Nothobranchius furzeri: one gene and its partner. The protein of the gene in region 2 binds, or shares a complex with, the protein of the main gene of each other region. Links are inferred from orthologs where the notes say so. Each region holds a gene or a part of one and is shown on either strand. Other genes may lie near its edges. The genes, in order: bag6 and ubl4a.

Region 1 (4,588 bases), on a different chromosome or scaffold from region 2:
AGATGTAGATAGTTGGACATTAGCCAAGACTTCACCTCATTAACACAGGAGACAAAGGACTGAATAGAGTGACCTTTCTCCTGACACAATGGAGAGTAAATCTGGCAATCGTCAGCATACAGATGGAATGATAGGCCATGTTTACGAAAGATTGACCCCAGAGGTAGCAGATAAATGGCAAACAAAAGTGGACCAAGGATCGACCCCTGCGGGACCCCCCACCGGAGCCCCTCCCAAGAAGAAAAAACATCACCCAGTTTAACACAGAATGTCCTGTTTTGGAGATACGATCTAAACCAGTCCAGAGCTGACCCTTTGATCCCAACCCATCGTTCCAAGCGATCGAGTAGAATCGCGTGGTCAACTGTGTCGAAGGCTGCTGTCAGGTCTAATAACAGAAGCAGCACAGATGTTCCCTGATCTAGTGATAGATAGATGTCATTTAGGACCCTCAGTAGAGCAGACTCTGTGCTATGGCCAGACCTGAACCCTGATTGGAAAACCTCAAACAGATCAGAGTCAGCTAAATGTGAGACCAGCTGCTGATAAACGACTTTCTCAAGCAGTTTAGATGTAAAGGGCAGGGTAGAGATAGGCCTGTAATTTTCTATCACAGAGACATCAGCACCAGGTTTCTTCAGGGTCGGCCGAATAACTGCTGCTTTCAAAGCAGCTGGGACCACACCTGTGCTGAGGCTCCCATTGATAATCTGACCAAGTGAAGGGCCAAGGCACGGAAAGGCAGCCTTCCAGAGACGAGGCGGTAGAACATCAAGTGGAGAGCCAGATGGCTTCTGCCTCGCAACTGGCTTACTCAGCTCGGAGTATGAAACAGTATTGAGGGAGCTCAGGGTGGGTGGTAATGTAGGAACTGGAACAGGGTCAATTGTTCCTAAGATGTGACAGTTGATCTTGCAGGGATCTCAAAATTAAATTTAAGACTTTTTAAGACCTTCTAAATATAAAAATTATCGCAATGAACTAATCAACTGTTAAACACTCATTGTTTTGAAATACTGCATTGCTTTGTTTTTCACTTAATCAACTGGCAGGTTATGCCACATCTGGGATAGCAAAGCTGTAGCAATGGTACGTAAAGCCACATGGTACAAAAACACAAGCAAATAGCTGGTATAGAAGAACAAAAAATAATTGTATTAGTTGCATCTATTTTCTCATACCTGCAAACTCAGAAGCTGAGAAAAAGGTGACAACTAAAATCACCCCACCCCCTCAAACATGGTCCTTGCATGCTGCAGATTTGCATCTATTCTACAGTGGGTTTGGTGGTGACCTCTGACATTTACATACTTTTATTTCATTAAGAATATATGTTTTTAAATATTTAATGTGATTTCTTTGCAAAATGCAAGCAATGTTCTACCAGTCGTACTGTTCAAATGAGCTAAGAAATATAATAAACTTTAAATAAAAAACTTAGGTTTTGTGTGAAAATAAGGACTACAGTATTGGGGCAGCAGTAGCTCCACAGGTTGAGTGGGTTGTCCAGTAATCGGAAGGTTGCAGGTTCGATCCCGGCTCCAACAGAGAATTCCTTGGGCAAGACACTTAACCCACCTTGCCTGCTGGTGGTGGTCAGAAGGACCGGTGACGCCTGTGCTTGGCAGCCTCGCCTCTGTCAGTGCAAACCCCCCCCCCCCCCCCAGGGCAGCTGTGGCTACATTGTAGCTCATCACCATCATTGTGTGAATGTGTGTGAATGGATGAATGATACACTGTAGTGTAAAGCGCTTTGGAGTCCATACTCTGAGAGGTGCTATACAAGTGCGGGTCATTTATCATTTACAATGCGCTTCACGAAAGTGACGTCATCAAACCAGCCACGGAGAAAAACAGAAATGGCTGTAAGTTTAGCCAACTTAAAATCCTTCCTTCGGGAGGAAAAAAAAACACCATAAATCTGGCCATTTTGTAAATAGCAGCTATTCTAGATGAGAAGAGATTCTGTGGTAACGTCATATACTGTATGTGACGTGCTGATGTCTAATTTGTAGTTATGCTAATTACAAACTTTTACAAGCTGATAAATCTCAAAGTATGTCACTTGCATGGTCCAAACACCCATTATTAGTTTTCGTTTAAATTGCAGTGCAACATATGTGTGACACTGGGCCTAAGGCAAAGCGGATTAGAAAATAGCTCTTTTAGCCGCATTGAGTTGCATTCATTTTTTCGTTTTTCCGGGAACCCATGAGCTGACCGGAAAGGGATGAGACTTCTCCCTACTGCTACGGTTGGTCTGGATTTCTAGGCTAAAAAACACCCCATTTTAAAAATTTTACGGAGAGTTTTTGTTGCGTCACTAAAATATTACAAGCTGAGCATAAAGTTAGAAAAATTCACATGTGAATACAGAAATTTGTTTTACAGTCTGTTCAATTAATATTTTAAGTCATGTACAGATGTTTACCAACAACCTAAAAGGCTAACGGTAGCCCCTTAGCAACCGAAGCTACATCCCGACAACTAGACACCAGAACAACGTAGCTCTTGCACTAAATTCCTCTTGCATTTTAATCCCGACTAAACAAACAACACGTCTAACGTTTAGCAGTAGTGAGTTACTACTAAGAGCCAATAAACCTGGAAATATCTGAGTTTCAACCATCGGCATATATACGGCTAACTGGTCAAATGGCTAAGCTCGTGCTAAAGCAACTGAGCGTAACAAGAAAAGAAAAACATTTGGAAAGTTGGATTTACAAAACGATGTTTCATTTAATGCTTACTTTGTCGTTGCAACTTATCCGGGACGCGCAGCTGGTTTTTATCTCCCGGTAACAGAAAACTTTCCGGTAGTTCTTACCTCCGGTTCGTGCTACTAGGCTACACGGAAGTGACGTCAGATCGGCAGCGGAAAAAGCTCAAGGAGAAGAAAAGATGGCGAATCTCGTGGAAGCGACAAGTCAACAACAGTTTGAGGATATCCTCTCTAAAGCTGGAAAACGACTGACCGTGGTCCACTTCTACGCTCCATGGGCTCCTCAGTGCGGCCAGATGAACGAGGTGATGACCGTGCTGGCCAAGGAGCACGCGCACACCACGTTCGTGAAGCTAGAAGCGGAGACGCTCCCGGAGGTTTCGGAGAAGTATGAAATCTCCTCGGTGCCAACGGTCGTTTTCTTTAAGGCGGGAGAGAAAGTGGACCGACTGGACGGGGCGCATGCGGCGGAGTTGACCAAGATGGTTCAAAGGTTGGCGGTGGCCGGGAGCCCGAATGAGTCATCGGGAGGAGAGGACCTGAACCAGCGGCTAAAGAAGCTGATTAACGCGGCCCCCTGCATGCTGTTCATGAAGGGCGCCCCACAGGAGCCCCGCTGCGGCTTCAGCCGGCAGATAGTGGCGCTGCTGAAGGAGCACAGCATCCAGTTCAGCAGTTTCGACATCCTGTCCGATGAAGAGGTCCGGCAGGGCCTGAAGACCTACTCCAACTGGCCCACATACCCGCAGCTGTACGTGAACGGGGAGCTAGTGGGGGGACTGGACATCGTGAAGGAGCTGGCGGAGTCAGGGGAGCTGGAGAACGCCTGCCCCAAGGCCGTGAACTTGGATCACCGTCTGAAGACCATCATCAACCAGAGTCCAGTAATGCTGTTCATGAAGGGCAACAAGGAGGCTGCAAAGTGCGGCTTCAGCAGGCAGATCCTGGAGATTTTAAACGCCTCTGGGGTGGACTATGACACCTTTGATATCCTGCAGGATGAAGAGGTCCGTCAGGGGCTCAAGACTTACTCCAACTGGCCCACTTATCCCCAGCTGTATGTGAAAGGGGAGCTGATCGGAGGCTTGGACATAGTCAAGGAGCTGAAGGAGAGCGGGGAGCTGGCAGCAGTGCTGAAGGGGGAGTCGTAGATGGATCCAGACAGGAACAGGCAGCATCTTATCTAAAGAGGGGTCAGGAAGGGACACAAACAAACAAAACATCACTATCAGATTAGAACATGGAGCTGCAGAGAATAAAAATCACTCTTGGTTTTTATTTTGATTGTTGTAGTTTAGCTCATTCATGAAAGTCACGTGTCAGGAACAATTTGTTGATTAAATAAAACTGGGAACCGCTGACTCTAGGTCAGATTTTCCTCTTCTGTTTTCTTATCCTCATTCTTCAGATATGTTTGGGTTAAAAGTGTTTCCTCTGTTATGGCACCTGTTCCACGAAAACATGAGTAAATAAAAAAAAACATCAAGATGCTTCCTTTTGCTTTTCTCAATCATTTAACAAATTAAATGTAGAAGAAAGTTCCGTCTTTTCAGTTTCCTTGAGAAATAAAACAAACTTAGAACATAGATCGGCTAAGAATTTTTCATGAGGAGAAGCTACATGTTGAAGATAAACGTGATGCAAATCTCAAAACTATTAAACTTACTTCAAATTATAAAGAGTATTACCCCAAAACATTTAAATATTAAATCCAAACAGGAAACTCGGGGTATGAGAGTTGTTTTGTCGCCACCCAGTGGACTAATTAGAGAGCAACAATCCTTGTGTGCTCCAGAAGCTGCTCAGGAAATCAAACAGATTTAACAAGTTGTGTAAGCTCAAACCAACCACTGGAGACATTTGCAT
Region 2 (3,815 bases):
GGGAGTACTGTGAGGATCATGTTTTTTGACTTCTCCAGTGCCTTCAATACCATTCTTCCCTCGGTTCTGAAGGACAAACTAGTGAACGTTGGAGTGGATCATCACTTCGCTACCTGGATTCTGGACTACCTTTCTGACCGACCACAGTATGTGAGGGCTCAGGGCTGTGTGTCGGATAGTGTCATCTGCAGCACGGGGGCCCCCCAGGGAACGGTTCTGGCTCCGTTCCTTTTTACCATCTATACTGCGGACTTCTCCTATAACTCAAATCAGTGCTTCTTGCAGAAGTTCTCGGATGACTCTGCGATTGTGGGTCTCATCAAGGATGGGGATGACAAGGAGTACAGGAGACTGACTCAGGACTTTGTGGACTGGTGCCAGCTGAACTATCTACAGATTAATGCCAGCAAAACTAAGGAGCTGGTGATAGACTTTCGTAGGCATAAGCATTCCTCGCTTCAACCACTGAGCATACAGGGCATGGACATTGAGACTGTGGACAGTTACAGGTACCTTGGGGTCCATCTGAACAATAAACTGGACTGGACTCATAATTCAGATGCCCTGTATAGAAAAGGGCAGAGTAGGCTGTACCTACTACGGAGACTGAGGTCATTTGGAGTAGTGGGCCCTCTCCTGAAGACCTTTTATGACTCTGTGGTGGCCTCGGCCATCTTTTATGGTGTGGTCTGCTGGGGCAGCAGCATGACTGCGGGGGATAGGAAGAGGCTGAACAGACTGATCCGCAGGGCCAGTTCTGTTCTAGGATGCCCCCTGGACCCTGTGGAGGTGGTGAGTGACAGGAGAATGACAGCTAAACTGTCATCCATGTTGGATAATATCTCCCATCCCATGCAGGTGACTTTGACAGCTATGAGCAGCTCTTTTAGTGGGAGACTGCGGCACCCAAGGTGTGGGACAGAGAGATTCCGTAGGTCTTTCCTCCCCACTGCTGTCAGACTTTACAACAAATCTGTCGGTTGAAGTGTACTCTGTATTTCTAGCTGTATCTAGTATGGTTATTATTTATTACTTTTTAACCCATTCTTAAGGTATAAACTGTCTATTGTATTGAGTTTATTTTATCTCATTGCGGTCGGTCTTATTGTATTTTAATGTTTTTCTCCCTCTTCAGCATAACTTTTACTTTTACTTTGCTTGGCTGTAAACGAAACAAATTTCCCACTTGTGGGACTAATAAAGGTCATCTTATCTTATCTTATCTTATCTTATCCTTCTCGCTGAGCAAGAGCAAAACGAGACAGGAGGGTGTGATTTGTTAAAAACTAAACAGCTACTGGACAAACATGCTGTTAACTACATTGAATACTGACAATGCTACTGAGCTCTAGAGGGGACATAGACAAAAAAAAATATTTTTTTCATATTCTAAGAAGCAGGATCCCAAGATAATTTTATATAAATAGACTTGAGATCTCCCAAAACAAATTCGGGATTAGGACTGAACCATCTAGCATCAAATTGCGATTTCAAACAAAGCCGTCACGTGATCGTCAAAGCAGTTTTTTTTGTTCTCAGCACTCCTAACTGATCCAGGATCTGTTGTATCAACTGTAATACACATCCAGGGTTTCCCCTGGGTTTTGAAGCGTAACAGTGGAAGCAGAGAGCGCCAGCGGGGGTGGGGTCCTGATGCTTGAGCTGACAAGAGACCCTTTTGGTCATTTTTCCTAATTTTCTTCCTTTTAATGGAGCTGCTACACCCAATTTTATCTATGGCTGTGGTCATCTGTTGCTTATTCTTTCCTCCACTTGACATCGATCGTGAGACGAATCGCCCACTTCCTGCAACTGCAGGAAGGGATTTACCGTAATAACACTAACTAGTTTTAATGGTGAAACTTTTCTTCTGTAAAAAAAATTTGAATTTTTCTAATGCCACAAACCACTGCAGAGTTACAGGAAATCATAGAACATGTTTAAAATGTGTCAGGGTTCAGTCTTAGGAGTGTTTTTATGAGAAAAAACATTTAAAAACAATTCTTACCTTTAGTTTTAATCCTTGCATTATTAGAATATTAGCTTTGATGGTATGATGTCATTTCCTGTCAGGTTTGTAAATGTTATAGCACATTTTGCTAAAGCTTGATTTGAAGAAACTCGTGGGCAACACTTTACAATAAGGGTTCCTTTATTAACATTAGTACATTAATAAACTAGTAAACAAAGTACCGTATTGGCCCGAATATAGGACGACCCCACATTTAAAAATTATTTTCAATGAAAAAAACCTCGTCTTATATTCGGGTCAACACGGTATTAACAACTATGCAGACACCCCCGTGGCCCGGACACTTAATGCTTAACAACAACAGTAACTTTAATAAAGGGAACCTTTCTTTATTAATACTTAATAATGCACTAAGTAACTTTAATAAAGGGACCCTTATTGTAAAGTGTTACCAAAACTGTGGATCAAGTTGGTTCTGTACCTTTCTCTTCAGCACAACTGACAAAGGTTTATGATGGGTCAGTCCTCCTGCATGCTCAGATCATTCCCTTCCCTTGCTTGAAAAATTGTTCCAAAATTAAAGTTGAACCCACATCTTTTTTATCTGTGAATTCAATGCCGTTCGGCGAGTCTCAAATAAAAATTTGGGCAACGTAATTATCTTTTCCTTAAATTGTCCAGCCCTGGTCGGGATCTCGCAAAACAAAGTCGGAAATAACAATAAATAAAGTTTCTGTCCCCTCTAGAGTTCAGTATAATGCACACTCACTGTTAGCGTAAAATATGCACACTTAAAAATGTAATCTAAATGCGAAGCCTTTCAGCCTGTATTTAATGCTACTGTTAATATCTGTTATCCTCCTGCTTGTCCATAGATTAACATTTACTATAGACAGGTTACCATGTTAAAAACCAACAGGTGATGTATTTTAATACCTTCATAAGCTGCTCGTAGACTTTAGCTGCATCTGCTGGACTGAAGTGTCTGGCTAGTATAGTGGACACAGTTTGCCACACTCCTGCCTGTGGGCTGCAGCTGCTGCTGCTGCTGGGAACTCCACTCCAGTCTACCAAAGGACGGGCAATCAGGTGCAACTTAGCATCTGGTCCAATGGAGTAATGACGCAGTTTGTGATCATCTAAAGGAAAGAAATGTTATAATATATATATATTATTACAGTAGTTGGAAATATCTAAATTAATTTCTCAAGCAACTCTACCTGCGAGCAATCTTCCTTTGTAGAGTAACCGCTGCCGGTTTACAGGTATCTTCAGCTGCTCGAACAAAAGCTCCTTCACTGAAGAGACTTTGTCATTTTCAGAAACCTACAAGATGAACCACACAATGATTTAACGACAGGCCTCTTTATATTTCATGCCACCTTGTCTTCTCTCTCCTTTATCTTGCTGTCTGTTACCCAGATATAGATCTCACAGAATCCAATCTCCAGGGAAGTCTGAAATCCCCAAAATTATCTGCGCCACATGCACAGACTTTTCTTTGTGCAGAAGTCTTTTCTGGGTGCAAGACTTATAATGGGTGTGTGCTACATCATAATTCTAACAGATGCAGATTAAAAAGAAAAGTGATGGATATTGTTTTAGTCTTTTGACAGATAAGATAAGGAGGTGGGCTTTAATAAAAACAACCAATAAATCTGTGTCATATGTCATTTTGAGCCTATTTAACTGTTCTTTTAAACAGTCTTGTGTTCTTACATGTTTTGTTGAAAAGACTGTTCTTTTAGTGGTTTTCTCACATTTTTCACTCACATCTAGGAGAGAAAGACAGGGGCCTTGTTCTCACCAACCAAAAGGGTGCTTATTTAATTGCAAGAAGCCT

What was found.
Region 1: the proteins of ubl4a (region 2) and bag6 are in contact, whole or in part, in a crystal structure (PDB 4X86), measured with the Homo sapiens proteins. The link is inferred for Nothobranchius furzeri from reciprocal best matches to the Homo sapiens genes UBL4A and BAG6. Residues at the interface, in NP_055050.1 of Homo sapiens: Val95, Leu98, Ile99, Val102, Leu103, Arg105, His106, Phe107, Ser108, Asp111, Arg114, Val115, Gln118, Leu119, Asp122, Tyr123, Glu124, Ser126, Leu127, Ser128, Leu130, Ile135, Leu138, Arg141, Phe142; in NP_001092004.1 of Homo sapiens: Gly1052, Pro1053, Leu1055, Leu1057, Ala1060, Val1061, Ala1064, Ala1065, Ala1067, Ala1068, Ala1070, Arg1071, Pro1072, Leu1073, Thr1074, Ser1078, Leu1079, Asp1082, Leu1083, Glu1087, Val1088, Ser1091, Tyr1092, Gln1095, Leu1096, Asp1099, Ile1100, Arg1103, Leu1104.

The regions. Positions count from the first base shown.
Region 1 is NC_091745.1:60,779,626-60,784,213, reverse strand, and holds the start of bag6 (large proline-rich protein BAG6), read right to left. Parts: upstream 2,877-4,588; 5' UTR 2,751-2,876; intron 1-2,750. Other genes in the region: glrx3 (glutaredoxin 3), read left to right, coding at 2,902-3,873. UniProt on the Homo sapiens protein: ATP-independent molecular chaperone preventing the aggregation of misfolded and hydrophobic patches-containing proteins.
Region 2 is NC_091757.1:40,372,956-40,376,770, forward strand, and holds part of ubl4a (ubiquitin-like protein 4A), read right to left. Parts: intron 3,299-3,815; coding exon 3,193-3,298; intron 3,112-3,192; coding exon 2,909-3,111; intron 1-2,908. UniProt on the Homo sapiens protein: As part of a cytosolic protein quality control complex, the BAG6/BAT3 complex, maintains misfolded and hydrophobic patches-containing proteins in a soluble state and participates in their proper delivery to the endoplasmic reticulum or alternatively can promote their sorting to the proteasome where they undergo degradation.